Callithrix jacchus: one gene and its partners. The protein of the gene in region 1 interacts with the protein of each later gene in a pairwise test. Links are inferred from orthologs where the notes say so. Each region holds a gene or a part of one and is shown in the gene's direction. Other genes may lie near its edges.

Region 1 (3,566 bases):
TATGTTGCATAATTCTACACTCTGAAGAATCCCATAAGTATAATATAGTGTCACCACTCACAAGGAATTTAATATTTCCTATGGCTTAAAACATATTTTTTGAAAAAACTTGATAAGCAAGACTCATTTTACCTAACGTTAGAAATATTTATGGAAAGCTCTGTAAAAGCTTAGAGTAAGTAAAATACTCAATGTACAGGAAAGGTTAGTCCTCTAATGAGCAGTTAGAAAAACCATCATGTGCTATATGTGAGCAATGTTCAGGATATCTGTAGGGAAGTGGACATTATTATAACTTCAAAATGTGTCTTGCATTGATAAATGAATTGTTCTGTCTGCTCACTCTTCGAGGGGCACCCGTGCAGTAAGATGCAAAATTTCCCATCCTGCATTTTTAAGGAAAATGTCAGAAGAGATTATTTTTCTTTAAGAGTATAAACTGATGCTTTATTTACCAGGGCAGTACTGGATTTCAGTGTACATCCAGTTACACAGATTTATAAATCAAAGAGAATATAGATGAAGTTGGATGCAGTGGCACGCACTTGTAATCCTAGCAGCTCAGGAGGCTGAGGTGGGAGGATTGCTTTAGGCCAAGAGTTTGAGACTAGTCTGAGCAACATAGCAAGACCTCAACTCTAAAACAGATTTAAAAATTAGCTGGGTATGGTGGCACATGCCTGTGGTAACTGCTACTTGGAAGGCTGAGATGGGAGGATTGCTTGAGCCCAGGATCTTGAGGCTGCAATGAACTATGAGCACACCACTGCACTATAGTCTGGGTGACAGAGTGAGACCCTGAATTTTAGGAGAAACAAATATATGTATGTGTATGTGTATTAAAAGAGACAATGTCTGAGGATTGTTAACTGAAAAGTTTGAGACCCAAATCTAATCCTTATTTCTGTTGGATGTCCCTTGAAGAGTTGAGCTGCTTTACAGAGATGGCTTATATCCACTAAGGGCCTGCACTACAGCTGAATTATAATAGGTCATTGTAATGCTTGACATGCAAGGCCCTTTATGTGCTAATTCAAACCTGAATCCCTTTTGCTTCTTTACATATTCTCTGTATTCCTACTTGCCGGACTCTGAACTTGCAATATACTGTTATTTCTGGTGCCTGGGATTCCTCCTGACTTCCATCTTTATCCATCTTTCAAAGATGCTACCTGTTCTTTAAAGCTCAATCCATGAAGCCTACAGATGAGAATATTCCTTCCTTAGAACCTATTAATATCTTCCTATTAGTCTTTGCACTGAATTAGTTTTTCATGTATTTTTCTCACCAAAGGCCAGGCCTGCATCTTATTCATTTCTGTGTTCCTTACAGCACTGGCAAGAGTTTGAACTTTGTAGTTGTTCAGTAAGCTTCTGTTGAATAAATGTAAAACCCCAGAGAAAATAGGTGGTACTTATTATTAACAATTAACATATATTTTTACTTATATATGGGAATTTGAGCACCCTCGAATGGGAAAATCTCATTTTGGAACTGGACAGGGATGGGTGGGAAGAGTGGTTGAGTGCTGTGTCTCCCTTGCACATCCGACTATGCATGGTTTCAGAATTCTTGCTGTTTTAACTACTACTACCATTTAACAAGTATCTTAGTTTTCATTTTGCCTTATACACTGTATAATACTATTGATGATTGCAAATGAGGTGTAAATTCAGATGAGTTAATGTCTTGGTGTGATAATATAAAATATCCATTTCCAAAGGAGTGATTTTTTTCCCCCCATTACAGGCATGTAATGAATTCACTACACATGTGATGAACCTTCTCCGAGAACAGAGTAGAACACGTCCCATTTCCCCCAAAGAGATTGAAAGAATGGTGGGCATCATCCATCGAAAATTTAGTTCCATTCAGATGCAGCTCAAACAAAGCACTTGTGAAGCAGTTATGATTTTAAGATCAAGGTTCCTTGATGCCAGGTATGTGAAGTCACAAATCTATTGCATGGCTTTCCCCCGTCTTTCACTCCTTGTATATTATTTTCTGTAAAACTGGCCAGATCTTAGATTCTTCTTTAATTTGGCCATATGAGCTCTTTTGTACAATGGACAGGTAATTCAACTCATGGTGCCTGTGCTGTCAAGCTTTTTCCTGTCTGGGAATGGTAGTGTGGGTTAGCTGCCAATTTAGTGTCTCAGGAAATAAATAGGATTAGCATCTCTGCTAATGACTTTAGGAATATGTAGCCTTTCCATTCTGATGCTAAAAGGTATTTTTTAAGGATAATTTTCTGCATATAACTATTTTAACAAAGGGTATTTTTTTTTTCTTTGAGACAGACTCTCACTGTGTCATCCAGGCTGGAGTGCAGTGGCGTGATCTCTGCTCACTGCAACCTCCTCCACCCATGTTCAGGCAATTCTCCCGCCTCGGCCTTCAAGGAGCTGGGACTACAGGTGCCCACCACCACACCCAGCTAATTATTTTTGTATTTTTAGTAGAGATGGAGTTCCCCTATGTTGGCCAGACTGGTCTTGAACTCTTGACCTTGATCTGTCTGCTTCGGCCTCCCAAAGTGCTGGGATTACAGGTGTGATCCCAGCACAAAGGGTATTTTCTAAGAATTTCTTAATGTTACACTGATTGTGCATATAATGGGAAAATACTTGGAGATACTGGTACTCCTAAGAAGGAAGTGGCGTTTCAGTTAATAGCAGTTACCACAAAACTCCAGAGTCTGTATTTTTAAATCAAGAAAGAAAGCCTATCATTTTTCCTGTAAGGATGAAAATTTTCCTTTATCTGAAGCTTTTCCCAAGTTTCATAGGAATTAGGTAATGCATTGTATGTGGTAACAAATTGTATATAGTGACCTACTGAGTGACAGAACAGAAGAATTGTCAATGTCCTAGTATATGCTGCCTCTGTAGGGATGCCTCTCAGGCATTGCTAAAGCTTATGATCAATCTGCAGCTTTGGAAAGGAGTTTCTATTTTATTTTTCTTTCTTTTCCCATGGAATCTGACAGAGGTGATAATTATCATCCAAATTTCACAATATTAAAGGAAATAACTAAGATAGCTTCTTGACTGGAAAACAAAGTGTGTGGAGCAGTCTTCATGCCAGAGCTCTTCCTTAGAGCCAAATAAGAAAACATTATATCACCATTTTCCTAGTTAACCAAAACTTGATATCATCTTTGGTTCTCTCTTCTTCCATATCAAATTAGTCACTAGAACTCACTGTTGCTTCCTTTTCGGTCTTTTTCACTTTATCTCTCTTTCCATCTCAGTTCCTGTCCATCCTTTTGTACAAGGACTAGCACAGTACCTACTAGTCTTCCTGACTCCAGTCCTACTGCTCTCCAGCCCATCCTCCATATCTCGTCTGTTTCTGTAACATTACTGTGCTAGCCTGATTGCTTTGCTTAAAAACCATAGTAGCTTTCCAATGCTTTTACATGCATACTCACATATATACTCCTTAACTTGATATTTAGGGCCTGTCCCTGTCTGCATTACTTCTTCGTTGTTGTGAAGATTTTATTAGTCTTTTTTCTATTTGAAAAATACCAAGCTCACTATGGAAAATTTGGAAAATATAT
Region 2 (3,296 bases), on another chromosome or scaffold:
ATGGGGGACTGTGGAAAATGTTGGTCAAAGGATACAAATTTCAGTTAGGAGAAATAAGTTCAAGAGATCTATTGTGTAGCATGATGACTATAGTTAGTAACAGTGTATTATATTCTTGAAAAATGCTAAAAGAATATATTTTAAATGTTCTCACCACAAAAAAAAGAATTATGGGAAGATATATGTATATGCTTTATTTAGCCATCCCACAATGTATAAATATTTCAAAACATGTATACAATAAATATGATTTTTGTCAAGTAAAATAATTTAAAAAAAATAAACTGAACTTTGGGACCAGACACACTACAGGTTTTTCTCCCTCCTAAAATTAATATTTACATGGCTTTAAACAGTCATTTAACTGAAAAGAAATTATTTATTTAATGGAGATAATTAATGGTGGTTATAAGGTTGAGCAATAATGCACATAAGGTATCTGATATGTGGGAACTGTTACAAACAGTAATGTGTTGATACATTAATTCAGGTAAGACCACATGAACTATAACAGTGTTAATGCTTCGCTGAATGTCAGCAACAAAGAAGCCTAACAAATGAGGTCTTATACTTCTTGTGGAAGTATATAACATGTTAGTTTTTAATGAAACAAACATGGATATATGTTATTGAATTATATATTTAATTAGTCTTCTGTATTTTCAATGGAAAATCTCTAATGATAATAACTGGTCAAAAATAGTTTATATAATTTATATGAATACATATAATAATGTTATTTAAATGCTACTTTACTTGAATTTTAAAGACAGCATATGTATGGCTTTTTTATATTATCCTAATTAACATTGATCTCTATGGGCATCTTAATCCAAATTAAAATATTATATAATTATAAAATTCAGTCTATGGAAAGGTTTGCCAATTTACCAATGTGCCAGTTAAAATGGGTTGATTTTCACTTGGATTCTAATAGTTGCTATAGAAACGTCAGGCCAAGATACACAGAGAAGGTAATTAAGATGGTTTAATTAAATGTTTTGATCTTGCTAAACCTAGCCTTCATTTGAAATACAGAATGGAAAATGTCTTATTAATTGCAGATGTCTTTTCTCTCCTCTTTTAGGATTTTGCCTACCATTTCACAGTGTTTGTCTTCTATTTTGGAGCCTTTTTATTGGAAGCAGCAGCCACATCCCTGCACGATTTGCATTGCAATACAACCATGACCCTGCAGCCGCTCCTGAGTGATAACCAGTATAACATAAATGTAGCAGCCACAGTAAGTACTCAATGAGTACTGTTCACCAGCACTTCCGCTCCACTGTCAAGGCCTCCAAGAAACTCTTCAGGCAACAGTACTCTTTAATACTAGCCGTTAATGTTAAATATATCATAGCTGTTATCTGTACAGTAACCCTGTGAGCAAAGTGCCATGATCACTTTGCTCACAGGGTTGCAGGTGATTAAACTGAAGCATAAAGAGGTTGATGTTCACATAAGACCACAGCAAGCCACCGTCTCTCATTAAGAATTGGCTAGGCCTGGTGTGTTGTGCCTGTAGTGCCACCTGTTTGGGAGGCTAAGGTGAGAAAATCTCCTGAGCCCAAGGAGGCGGAGGTTGCAGTGAGCTGAGACCACACCACTGCACTCCAGTCTGAGTGACAGACCAAGACTCGGTCGAGGGATGGGGGGGAATGGGGAGTAACCAGTATGACTAAGGAACTGTATTTTTAATATTATTTTAATAATTTTAACCACATGTGACTAGTGGCTATCATATTAGACAATAAAGGTCTGGAGTCTGAGTTTTGAGGGGTCTGCAAAAAGAACTGTGTTTTTGCTTCTTATAACTTTCAGACATGGTAAGGGATATTTCCCAGTTTGGTTCTTTAGTATTCAATAGCTGTTTGCACGTTAATTTTATTCAATGAATAGATACTGTGGGCCTACCATATATCAAGTAATTTTGCTGGCTGTTGAGGATGGGGTGGATAAGCTGCAGTTGTTGCCATTCAGGGAAGTGCAGGTGAGGAAGGGAGGCAACTATGCCAGCCATTGCAGTAGATGGTAGGCAGATGAAATGCATTCCTTGGGGCATTTATAAATTTTTAAATCATCTTTAATTCACATACTGGAGTGAATTTGTCATTTTGTATTGTATAGATAATAATTTGAAGAACTAATGTATTATTTTTGTTGTTAAAGATCACTTTTAAGATGCTAGAAGTCCAAATTTTCTGAAATAGTGTGATATTTAATATAAATATATGGCAAATTAGTGACCCTAATGTTTTATTATGTTTCCCAGGTAGCCTGTAAATAACCCAGTACTCCCCATATAGGCATTGAAATCTGTCTGGAGCAGCACTGTCTAGTAGAACTTTCTTTTTTTGTAAGTGCTGTCCAATATGTTGGCCACTAGGCTCATGTGGCTGTTGAGCAATTGAAAAGTAAGCCAAAGAGTCATGGCTCATGCCTGTGATCCCAGCACTTTGGTAGACCGAGGTGGAAGGGGACTGCTTGAGGCCAGGATTTCTGGAGCAGCCTGGTCAACATAGCAAGACCCTGTCTCTCAAAGTGGGGAAAAAAAAGAATCAAGAATTGGCCAGGCCTGGTGGCTTGTGCCTGCAGTGCTACCTGTTTGGGAGGCTGAGGTAAGAAAATCTCTTTAGCGCAGGAGGCGGAGGTTGTAGTGAGCCGGGAGCACACCTCTGCACACCAGCATGATGAAGGAACTGAAGTTTTAGTATTATTTTAACCACATGTGGCTAGTGGCTATCAGACAATAAATACCATTCTAGAGTCTGAATTTTGAGGTGTAGAAGACAAATGATTTCAAGACCCATTATAAGTTTCCCAAGTCTCTGATAGGATTTGTCAAAATTTATTGAGTGCCTACAATGAATTAGGCTGAAGGTGGGATTACAACAAAGAGTCATGGTTTTAGCTTTGAAATGTCCCATCCATGGGACATCAGATTGGGAGGCAAATTCCTTTTCCCTAATACATGTATCAAAAGCTATTGCTGTCATTTAGAAAACAATGTCTAGATTAGAAATTGTCAGAGAATCAATCAGCAGAAGAAGGGTGGAAAGAATAGCAGAAAAGCAATTAAACTGTGAAAATGATCTATAGGTGAATCCAGTATTGCTTCCCAGAGCTATAGTTTCCTCGTTAAGAACCCTTGTGCTAAACCATAATATTTATCATGTTGAACTGCTTTTGCTTTGTCTTTTAGTCTTCTATGGATCATAAACCCCAAAAGGGTGAGGACATTATCTACTCTTTGCTTATATGTACCAAATGTAGTAATATACACACAGTTGGTGTTG
Region 3 (3,566 bases), on another chromosome or scaffold:
AATCGCTTGAACCCAGGAGGCAGAGCAACGTTGTAGTGAGCCAAGATTTTGCCACTGCACTCCAGCCTGGCTGACAGAGCGAAACTCCGTCAAAAATAAATAAATAATAGTTAGAACCATGCCAGGTACTAGCAAGTGCTCTGTGTTCACTATGATTTTGATTGGATTGACAAGTGAACAAATCAACAATGTCAGTTAGGCAATACCCTAAATGGTAGAATAGGGTGGGCCTTGTGTTAGGAAAGTGACGAGGTCGTACTTAGCATTGGTGGGTGAGGGAAGGAGTCTCAGAGTGAACATTCAAGCTGCTGCTCAATGACAAAAGGGGGGCCAAGTGTCAGAGTAGAGGGCGCCCACTGTACGGGGCTGTGGCTGGGAGGTCAGGGAGGGCGGGGCTGGGCCCGGGGTCCCACGGGCCCCTTAAGCCCTGGTGAAGAGTCTGCATTTTATTCCAAATGGGATGGAAAACTGTTGGAGGATTTTTAGCAGAGGATTGACAGCATCTGACTACACTACCAGTTGCTATTTAGAGAACAGAGTGGCAGTCAGGAGGCTGTCATCTGGCAGGAGACGGAGGTGCTTGGGACCTGCAGGGACACAGCCAGATCCAGGGTCTGGGTGGGAGGCGAGCCCATGGGATTTGCTGGCACATAGCCAGGTGGCCTCAAAGACTAAGGTCTGTTCTGGGAGGAGGCCCTGAGACCCCTGGCACAGGAGGGAGGTGACCTGCGGGTTGGTGGCCACCTGATGGGACTAAGCTGCTTCTTTGACAGGGGCTGCATCGTGTTCTCGGGCTCCTATGCCTGGGCCAACTTCACCATCCTGGCCTTGGGCGTGTGGGCTGTGGCTCAGCGGGACTCCATCGACGCCATAAGCATGGTGAGCCAGGGCGGGGGCCGAAGCACAGGGCGACACACGGCCTGGCTCTGCCTCCCTGTCCCATCCCAATCTTCCTTCTCTTCCTGGGGCCACCACTGCCTGTTGTCTAAAGCCTTTTTCTTCAGCCTCCCGGGTGTCAGCCCATGCCTGTCTTTGGGAGCGAGCATGCTACTCTTCTTGCCTGGCTTAGAGAAGCCCAGGTCTGCCATTATCTCCCCCAGGAAAGCCAAGGGGTGCCCCAGATTGGCTTCTCTGCAAGAGCAATGGAGCATTCCCTATAACCTGCCTCTGGGGCTCTCTTTTAGGGGAGAGGACATGGAGACCCAGCCAAGGGGGCACGCCACTACTTTAGGAAGGAGAGGTGACCCAGGCCGACCGAAACTTCCCACAGGGGAAGCTTCTTAGCACCCACCAAGCCCCGTGGGGCAGCGTGCACCCCCTGCACCGGCTCTTCAAGCCTTGGCCAGGGCTCGGGGTGACTGAGGAGTGAGAAGGGATTTCCTTTTTCTTTTTTTTTTTGTTCTGAGACAGTCTTGCTCTGTCGCCCAGGCTAGATTGCAGTGGTGCGATCTCAGCTCACTACAACCTTTGCCTTCCAGGTTCAGTGATTCTCCTGCCTCAGCCTCCCAAGCAGCTGGGACTACAGGCATGTGCCATCATGTGCGGCTAATTTTTTGGATTTTTAGTAGAGATAGGGTTTCACCTTATTGGCCAGGCTGGTCTCGAACTCCTGACCTCATGATCTACCTGCCTTAGCCTCCCAAAGTGCTGGGATTACAGGCATGAGCCACCGTGCCTGGCCCTGAGAAGGGATTTTCTTCGTGTTGGAGACAGACTGGGTGAACAAGGAACCTTCCTTTATGGAGGTTCTAGAGCCCAGTCTTGTGCCCATCATGGTCTTAGAGGTGATCGAAAATGGGTAGGGAGGGAGGCTCTGTGGAACCGAGACCTGAGCCCCCTGCGTCCCTGCCCCTAGACTGCAGTCTCAGCCAGCCGCTCCCCTGTGAGTCCTGCCTGCTTGCTTGCTCAGTTTTCCAGCAAGCCCCAAGGACACAGTAGGGCATGAAACAGCTTCGCATCTGGTACATGGTGGGGAGCCACGGGACACGGCAGGGCTCTTGTGCTCATCAGTGCCTGTGTCTTGCAGTTTCTGTGTGGCTTGCTGGCCACCATCTTCCTGGACATCGTACACATCAGCATCTTCTATCCGCGGGGAAACCTCACGGACACGGGCCGCTTCGGCGCGGGCATGGCCATCCTCAGCTTGCTGCTCAAGCCGCTCTCCTGCTGCTTCATCTACCACATGTACCGGGAGCGCGGGGGTGAGCTCCTGGTCCACACTGGTGAGGCCACCACCTCTGGCCAGCTCCCCACCACTCCCTTCTCTCCCTTGCCTGGCCCCCAGGCTCTCCCCCAGTGAGCTGGCCTTACCCCATGGGGCCAGCAGGAAGAGCATGGCATGGGCACTCTGTACCAGGCTGGAGGAGTCCAAGCTCCTGGTCTCTGCTGCAGGAGCCCAGGGGTCCCCTGACTGTCCTGGTCCGCTGCGACCTTCTCCTGCTGTGAGGCTAAGGCTAGGCCCTTCTCTCAGCCTAGAGCACAGGCACAGCTGGGGGTACCATTTAGTTCCCAGGGGCAGCCCTGGGCTATCTCCAGCATGAGGGCCACCGGCACCTACAGGTCTCCTCTCTGTTCTCACCGGGCCCCAACACTGGAACCCCATTTCCTGCCACGTGGGGTCTTTCCTCTCCTGCGGCAGAGATTGTGCTAGGTAGCCAAAGGAGAGCCTGCTCTAGCGTAGGCTGTGTGAGCCTCAGCGAAGACGGCCCTGAACTGTGGGCACTCCCCGTACCCACCAATCCCTCCCCACTCGCCCATCCTCACCCTCACCCCGCCCTCTCCCATGCCCTTTCCTGTACCCCTTCTGCTGGTGGCCGAGCTGTTTGCCTGCTCTCTGACACCTCTGTCTCTCCTTTCTCTTTGAGAGGAGTGGAGGGAGGTTGTGGGGTGTGGCCTTCTACCTTTCACTCCTGAGAAGAGAGGCCTCAGGTGGCCTGTGACTGCCACCAGCTGGTCGAGGGTAAGAATGGCCTGGGGCTGCCCCCAGGGAAGGGGTGCCAGAATGTATCTCCCATTGGACAGATGAGGAAACTGAGGCCCACAGCCCTTGGGACGTGCTCAAGGTCTCAGGATGAATGTGCAGAGGAGGGGATGAGAGTGAGGAGTGTGGGGTGTTTGGAGCTACAGTCCTGCCTTGGACTCAGCCCCAGCCTCCAAGGCCATCTGGATACAGTAATGTGGTGTCCTTCTGCCTGAGAGGGGAGCTGGAGAGGAGTGTGTGGGCCCGGGGCTGGTGTCCCTCTGCCCAGGTTCCTGAGCACTTGCTGCCTGAGGAACCACCCCATGGCACAGTGGCCTGGAGCCTGGCTTTGGGCTTGGCTGCCTAGGCGTGGGTCGCAGCATCATCGCTTCGAGCTGTGTGATCTCAGCAAGTCAGTTCATCTCTTTGACCCACTGTTTCCTCATCTGTAAAGTGGGGATGATACCTGCTGCAAGGAGTACGGGAGGATTGAATGAATGATACACGCTAAAAGCTTAGTGCCTGGGGCTGCTGCCTCTGTCTCTGTGGTGGTGTCAGGATGCCTGGCCCCAGGGTGGCAGGGGTAGATCTTGCCTTGGACTCAGCA
Region 4 (4,327 bases), on another chromosome or scaffold:
AAATAAATAATTTTTTTATAAAGACAGGGTTTCACCATGTTGGTCAGACTGGTCTTGAACTCCCGACCTCAGGTGATCCACCTGTCTTGGCTTCCAAAGTGCTTGGATTACAGGCGTGAGCCACCACGGCCGGCCAATAAATAATTTTTTTTTAAAAAGTTCACCTGGATAGCCCATGTAGATATTCTCCTTCCAGCCCCACCCAGCTGCTTTGGAAAATTAGAATCTCAGTCTGCTTAAGGGAGCCCAGGCTTCCCCATACTTGAACACACATTTCTTGAGGCCCTATTCTGGTGCACCTCCATTAGAATTCCAGCCCCGTTTTCCTACAATTCCACTCACGGCAGGGGCAGGCCACAGAGGAATCTGTTTAAAGACTGAGAAAGAACCATGGCTAGGAGAACCAGGGAAAAGAAAGGCCCATGCCTCAGACACTAGCCATCTTTGGGGACATCCAAAAGGCCAGCAGCCCCTAACATGTTCCTATTAAATTTCAGGAGGCTGAACTCTAGAAATTATAATCATAACATCTGGGATAATATAGTGGCAATAACAATGACTATCATTTATTGAGCAATTATAAAGTCTCTTTAAAAATTAGAGTCTTTCAAGCACTTCACATGGATTTAACTGAATCATCATAACCCTGTGAGCTGGTACCATTAGGATCCCCGCTGTTCAGATGAAGATACTGAAGTTCAAGGAGGTGACTAGATCACAGCCACACAGCCTGGATTTTCTCCTGAGTCTGAATCCAGAATCACAGCTCTTTTAGGTATAACACCTCCCACTTTTAAAACTTCTCAATACTTTCTCTTTCCCAACTTCACTTCCTCCTGTCCAAAGGTGTATGGTGGGGGGGGGGACGACGGGGGGTGTCCCTAGCCCCAACTCATTCATCTTTGGGACTCCACGAGGTGGGGTAGGGGCCAACCTCAGATACCCTTCCAGCAACCATGGCCCCCTCACTAGCCTCAATCTCTTGAGGAAAAAATCAATTCCCACAAATTATCTAAATCTTTCTACTCAATATGTGGTCCATGGACAAGCCGCATCAGCATCACCTGGGAACTCAGAAATGCAAATTATGGGTTCCACCCCAGACTTGCTGAATGAGAACATCTGGGCTGGGGCTCAGGATTCTGTGTTTTAGCAAGCCCTCCAGGTGTTTTTTTATGCCCTCTAGAGTCAGAACGACAGCTCGGCACGGTCTCCACTGTGCCCTCCCCGGGAGAGTACACACGCCCGCTTCTGCCATTAGAGCTCCCTTAACGCCCTCGCTCCTGACAGCGCACCTGTGCCCTCCCAAAACTACAACTCCCACAATGCCCAGAGGCGCGCGTCGTCACTTTCTGGGATTGTATCTTCCAAAGTGTCCTGCGAGTCAGGCCGCCATCATAGCGCCCACCCTCCCAGCCACCGTTAAGACTACAACTCCCACAGTGCCTGGCGACAGAACTACCGTCCCCAGCTGCTCCGGAGCGGCGCCACGTCGGCTCCGCAGGGTGGGGCCGGACTCAGGCGGTGCCGGCAGGGTCTGCAGGGTACCGGGCTAGTTACCGCAGCTCTACCCCTCACGACGCAGACATGGCAGCCCCGAAGGACCAGCAGAAGGATGCCGAGGCAGAAGGGCTGAGCGCCACGTGAGCAAGCCGGCTCTAGCCCTTTGGACCCGACACCCGGAGTCCCGGCCCCCTACCCTCTCCTCCCTTGAGTGCCCGGAGTCCCAGCCCCGAGACGCCAAAGTCTTGGTCCCCGATCTCCTCTTCTGGGACCCTGGAGTCTGAGCCCTTAGCCCCCTTTCCCTCTATGGGCCAGGAGTCTGGGGTTCCGGGAGGGAGTCCAGGCTTAGCCCCTTATGGGGATCTGGGCCTCCATTCCGGTCCACCACTGACCCGGCCCCGCCCCGCGCAGGACCCTGCTGCCGAAGCTGATCCCCTCTGGTGCAGGACGGGAGTGGCTGGAGCGGCGCCGGGCGACCATCCGGCCCTGGGGGACCTTCGTGGACCAGCAGCGCTTCTCACGGCCCCGCAACCTGGGCGAGCTGTGCCAGCGCCTCGTACGCAACGTGGAGCACTACCAGAGCAACTATGTGTTCGTGTTCTTGGGCCTTATCCTGTACTGCGTGTGAGTGCCTTCCGGGCCCCACATCTGCACTCTCCCTCCCCGGCTAGACCCCTCCTCTCCTGGTTCAGGCCCCGCTGCCACCTCCGGTTCTTCCTCTCACCGGCCAGGCCCCGCCCCCACCGGCCAGGCCCCTCCTCTCACCGGCCAGGCCCCGCCCCCAAGGGTTGGCTCTGCTAGACCTACCTTGTCACCAAAGGGCCAGGTCACTACTCCACCATCACCCTGGCCAGGATGCGGGGTGACTAAATGTCACCTGGCTCTCCCTGGTCTCCAGGATGTAGCTTGCCGCACACTGGTGGAGAAGGCCAGGGCTCCCTGGCTGGCCTAGCCCCAGCTGCCTGACTGCTGCCTCCCTGCACTCCTCCTCCAGGGTGACATCCCCTATGTTGCTGGTGGCTCTGGCTGTCTTTTTCGGCGCCTGTTACATTCTCTATCTGCGCACCTTGCAGTCCAAGCTTGTGCTCTTTGGTGAGAAATCCCCTGCCCATATGAATCCTTGGTCCCTCACATCCTGGTCTCTTGGAATTACAGACCTCAGAGCCCAAACCCAAGTCCTTCAAAACCCAAGTCCGCCCAAGCCTAGATGTAGACTAGGTCCCCCAAACCTGATCCCTTAACATCTCAAAACAGATGCTCCCACCGAATCTCGGCCCCCTAAATTGCAATTCCTCAAACCCAGATTCCACCTGTCAGCTGTGCCTTCAACCTACTTCTCTCCAAATCACGTGACTCCTTCCCTCTCCCTCCTCCCCTCGCTGCTCTTTGCGGCAAGCATCAGCTGCAGGTGCCCACACTGGACACCAGGTGGCAACCTTACACGGTCTAGATTTGTTCCCGTCCCTTTTCTGGCTTTCTGGGATGTGACCAGAAAGACCTTGGGACTTAGAGAGGAAAACTGAGGAGTATGTTTCATGTGGTTCCCAGACTAGTACCAAGGACCACTGGGAAAACAAAATGCCAGGAAAAATCCCCCCAGGGGAAAATCAAGGTTTGGAGTAAGGTTGGACAGTTGGGATGGGATGGTCAGGTAGACCTGCGGCAAGTTATGTGCATGACAGGCTGGGGCGGAGGAGGGTCGGGTAGAGGGAGCACCTGAAGCACAGCCACAACTTGGCTTCAGCTCATCGCCGTCACCAGCATGCAGACCCCATTTCCCAGACTTCTGTGAGAAGCCTGAAGTTGGTATTTTTATGTGAAATCATTCACTTTGCCAGCCACAAATCACATTCTTGCAAAACATCTCAAAAAACACATCCACCAGTCAGATTTGGCCCCCGGACCACCAGTTTGAGACCCCTGGTCTGCGTGAGGGTTGCAGCAGGAGAGCAGAGTAGTCTGGGGAGCAGGAAGCTGGGATCCCAGGAGCTTTCTAGAGGATGTGGACCAGAGGGCAGAGGGTGGGGCTGAGGCAGGTGAGGATGGTGTGCTGTGTTCTGGAGGGGAGTTGGGACAGCAGGGGAACAGGGTGACCCCAGGACTGGAGGGCCTTGGCAGAGGAGTTTGGATTCAATCCCAAGGTCCTGGAGCTTGTATAGATTGTTGGGGGACAGCAGGGGTTACTCTGGGAGAGGGCACGGAGGGTGGGAACAGCGCCCCAATGCCGTCTGCCCCCAGGCCGAGAGGTGAGCCCAGCCCATCAGTACGCTCTGGCTGGAGGCATATCCTTCCCCTTCTTCTGGCTGGCTGGTGCTGGCTCGGCCGTCTTCTGGGTGCTGGGTGAGTACAGGGTCTGAGCGGCTGGGGTGGATGGTGGGGCCAGGCACAGGAGTGTGGCCCTGAGCTGCCGGCTTTCCTGCAGGAGCCACCCTGGTAGTCATCGGCTCCCATGCTGCCTTCCACCAGATTGAGGCTATGGACGGGGAGGAGCTGCAGATGGAACCCGTGTGAGGTGCTGCTGGGACCTGCTGGCCTCCCCAGCCAGCCACCCCACCCCTACCCATCCCTGTCCTGCACAGGTCTGCTGCTGCTTGGGCCTACAGTGCTGCCCCATCACAAGTCCGGGGAGGGAATCTGCCTTTGAAAATAAAGCTGTTACAGGTGTCATTCAGCAAATACTCCCCCAGCATCTTCTGTGGGTCTCTGTGGATGATGCTGGAAATAGTGTAGAGACCAGGGTTGGCGTGGAGCCTGGGGTGTGGCAAGACGATCAACAAGGTAAACAGGTAAAATATTATGGGATGTCCAATGGTGGTGAGTGATG

Evidence for each region.
Region 2: the proteins of PBX3 (region 1) and MAL2 interact in a two-hybrid assay, tested with the Homo sapiens proteins (2 studies listed by BioGRID). The two-hybrid records come from large-scale screens. The link is inferred for Callithrix jacchus from reciprocal best matches to the Homo sapiens genes PBX3 and MAL2.
Region 3: the proteins of PBX3 (region 1) and AGTRAP interact in a two-hybrid assay, tested with the Homo sapiens proteins (4 studies listed by BioGRID). The two-hybrid records come from large-scale screens. The link is inferred for Callithrix jacchus from reciprocal best matches to the Homo sapiens genes PBX3 and AGTRAP.
Region 4: the proteins of PBX3 (region 1) and RABAC1 interact in a two-hybrid assay, tested with the Homo sapiens proteins (2 studies listed by BioGRID). The two-hybrid records come from large-scale screens. The link is inferred for Callithrix jacchus from reciprocal best matches to the Homo sapiens genes PBX3 and RABAC1.

Annotation. Positions count from the first base shown.
Region 1 is NC_133502.1:174,535,643-174,539,208, forward strand, and holds part of PBX3 (pre-B-cell leukemia transcription factor 3), read left to right. Parts: intron 1-1,750; coding exon 1,751-1,941; intron 1,942-3,566. UniProt on the Homo sapiens protein: Transcriptional activator that binds the sequence 5'-ATCAATCAA-3'.
Region 2 is NC_133517.1:78,168,603-78,171,898, reverse strand, and holds part of MAL2 (protein MAL2), read left to right. Parts: intron 1-1,087; coding exon 1,088-1,243; intron 1,244-3,202; coding exon 3,203-3,230; intron 3,231-3,296. UniProt on the Homo sapiens protein: Member of the machinery of polarized transport. Required for the indirect transcytotic route at the step of the egress of the transcytosing cargo from perinuclear endosomes in order for it to travel to the apical surface via a raft-dependent pathway.
Region 3 is NC_133508.1:49,632,842-49,636,407, forward strand, and holds part of AGTRAP (type-1 angiotensin II receptor-associated protein), read left to right. Parts: intron 1-773; coding exon 774-879; intron 880-2,026; coding exon 2,027-2,222; intron 2,223-3,566. UniProt on the Homo sapiens protein: Appears to be a negative regulator of type-1 angiotensin II receptor-mediated signaling by regulating receptor internalization as well as mechanism of receptor desensitization such as phosphorylation.
Region 4 is NC_133523.1:36,983,733-36,988,059, reverse strand, and holds RABAC1 (prenylated Rab acceptor protein 1), read left to right. Parts: upstream 1-1,502; 5' UTR 1,503-1,587; coding exon 1,588-1,643; intron 1,644-1,914; coding exon 1,915-2,127; intron 2,128-2,497; coding exon 2,498-2,595; intron 2,596-3,741; coding exon 3,742-3,843; intron 3,844-3,925; coding exon 3,926-4,014; 3' UTR 4,015-4,179; downstream 4,180-4,327. UniProt on the Homo sapiens protein: General Rab protein regulator required for vesicle formation from the Golgi complex. May control vesicle docking and fusion by mediating the action of Rab GTPases to the SNARE complexes.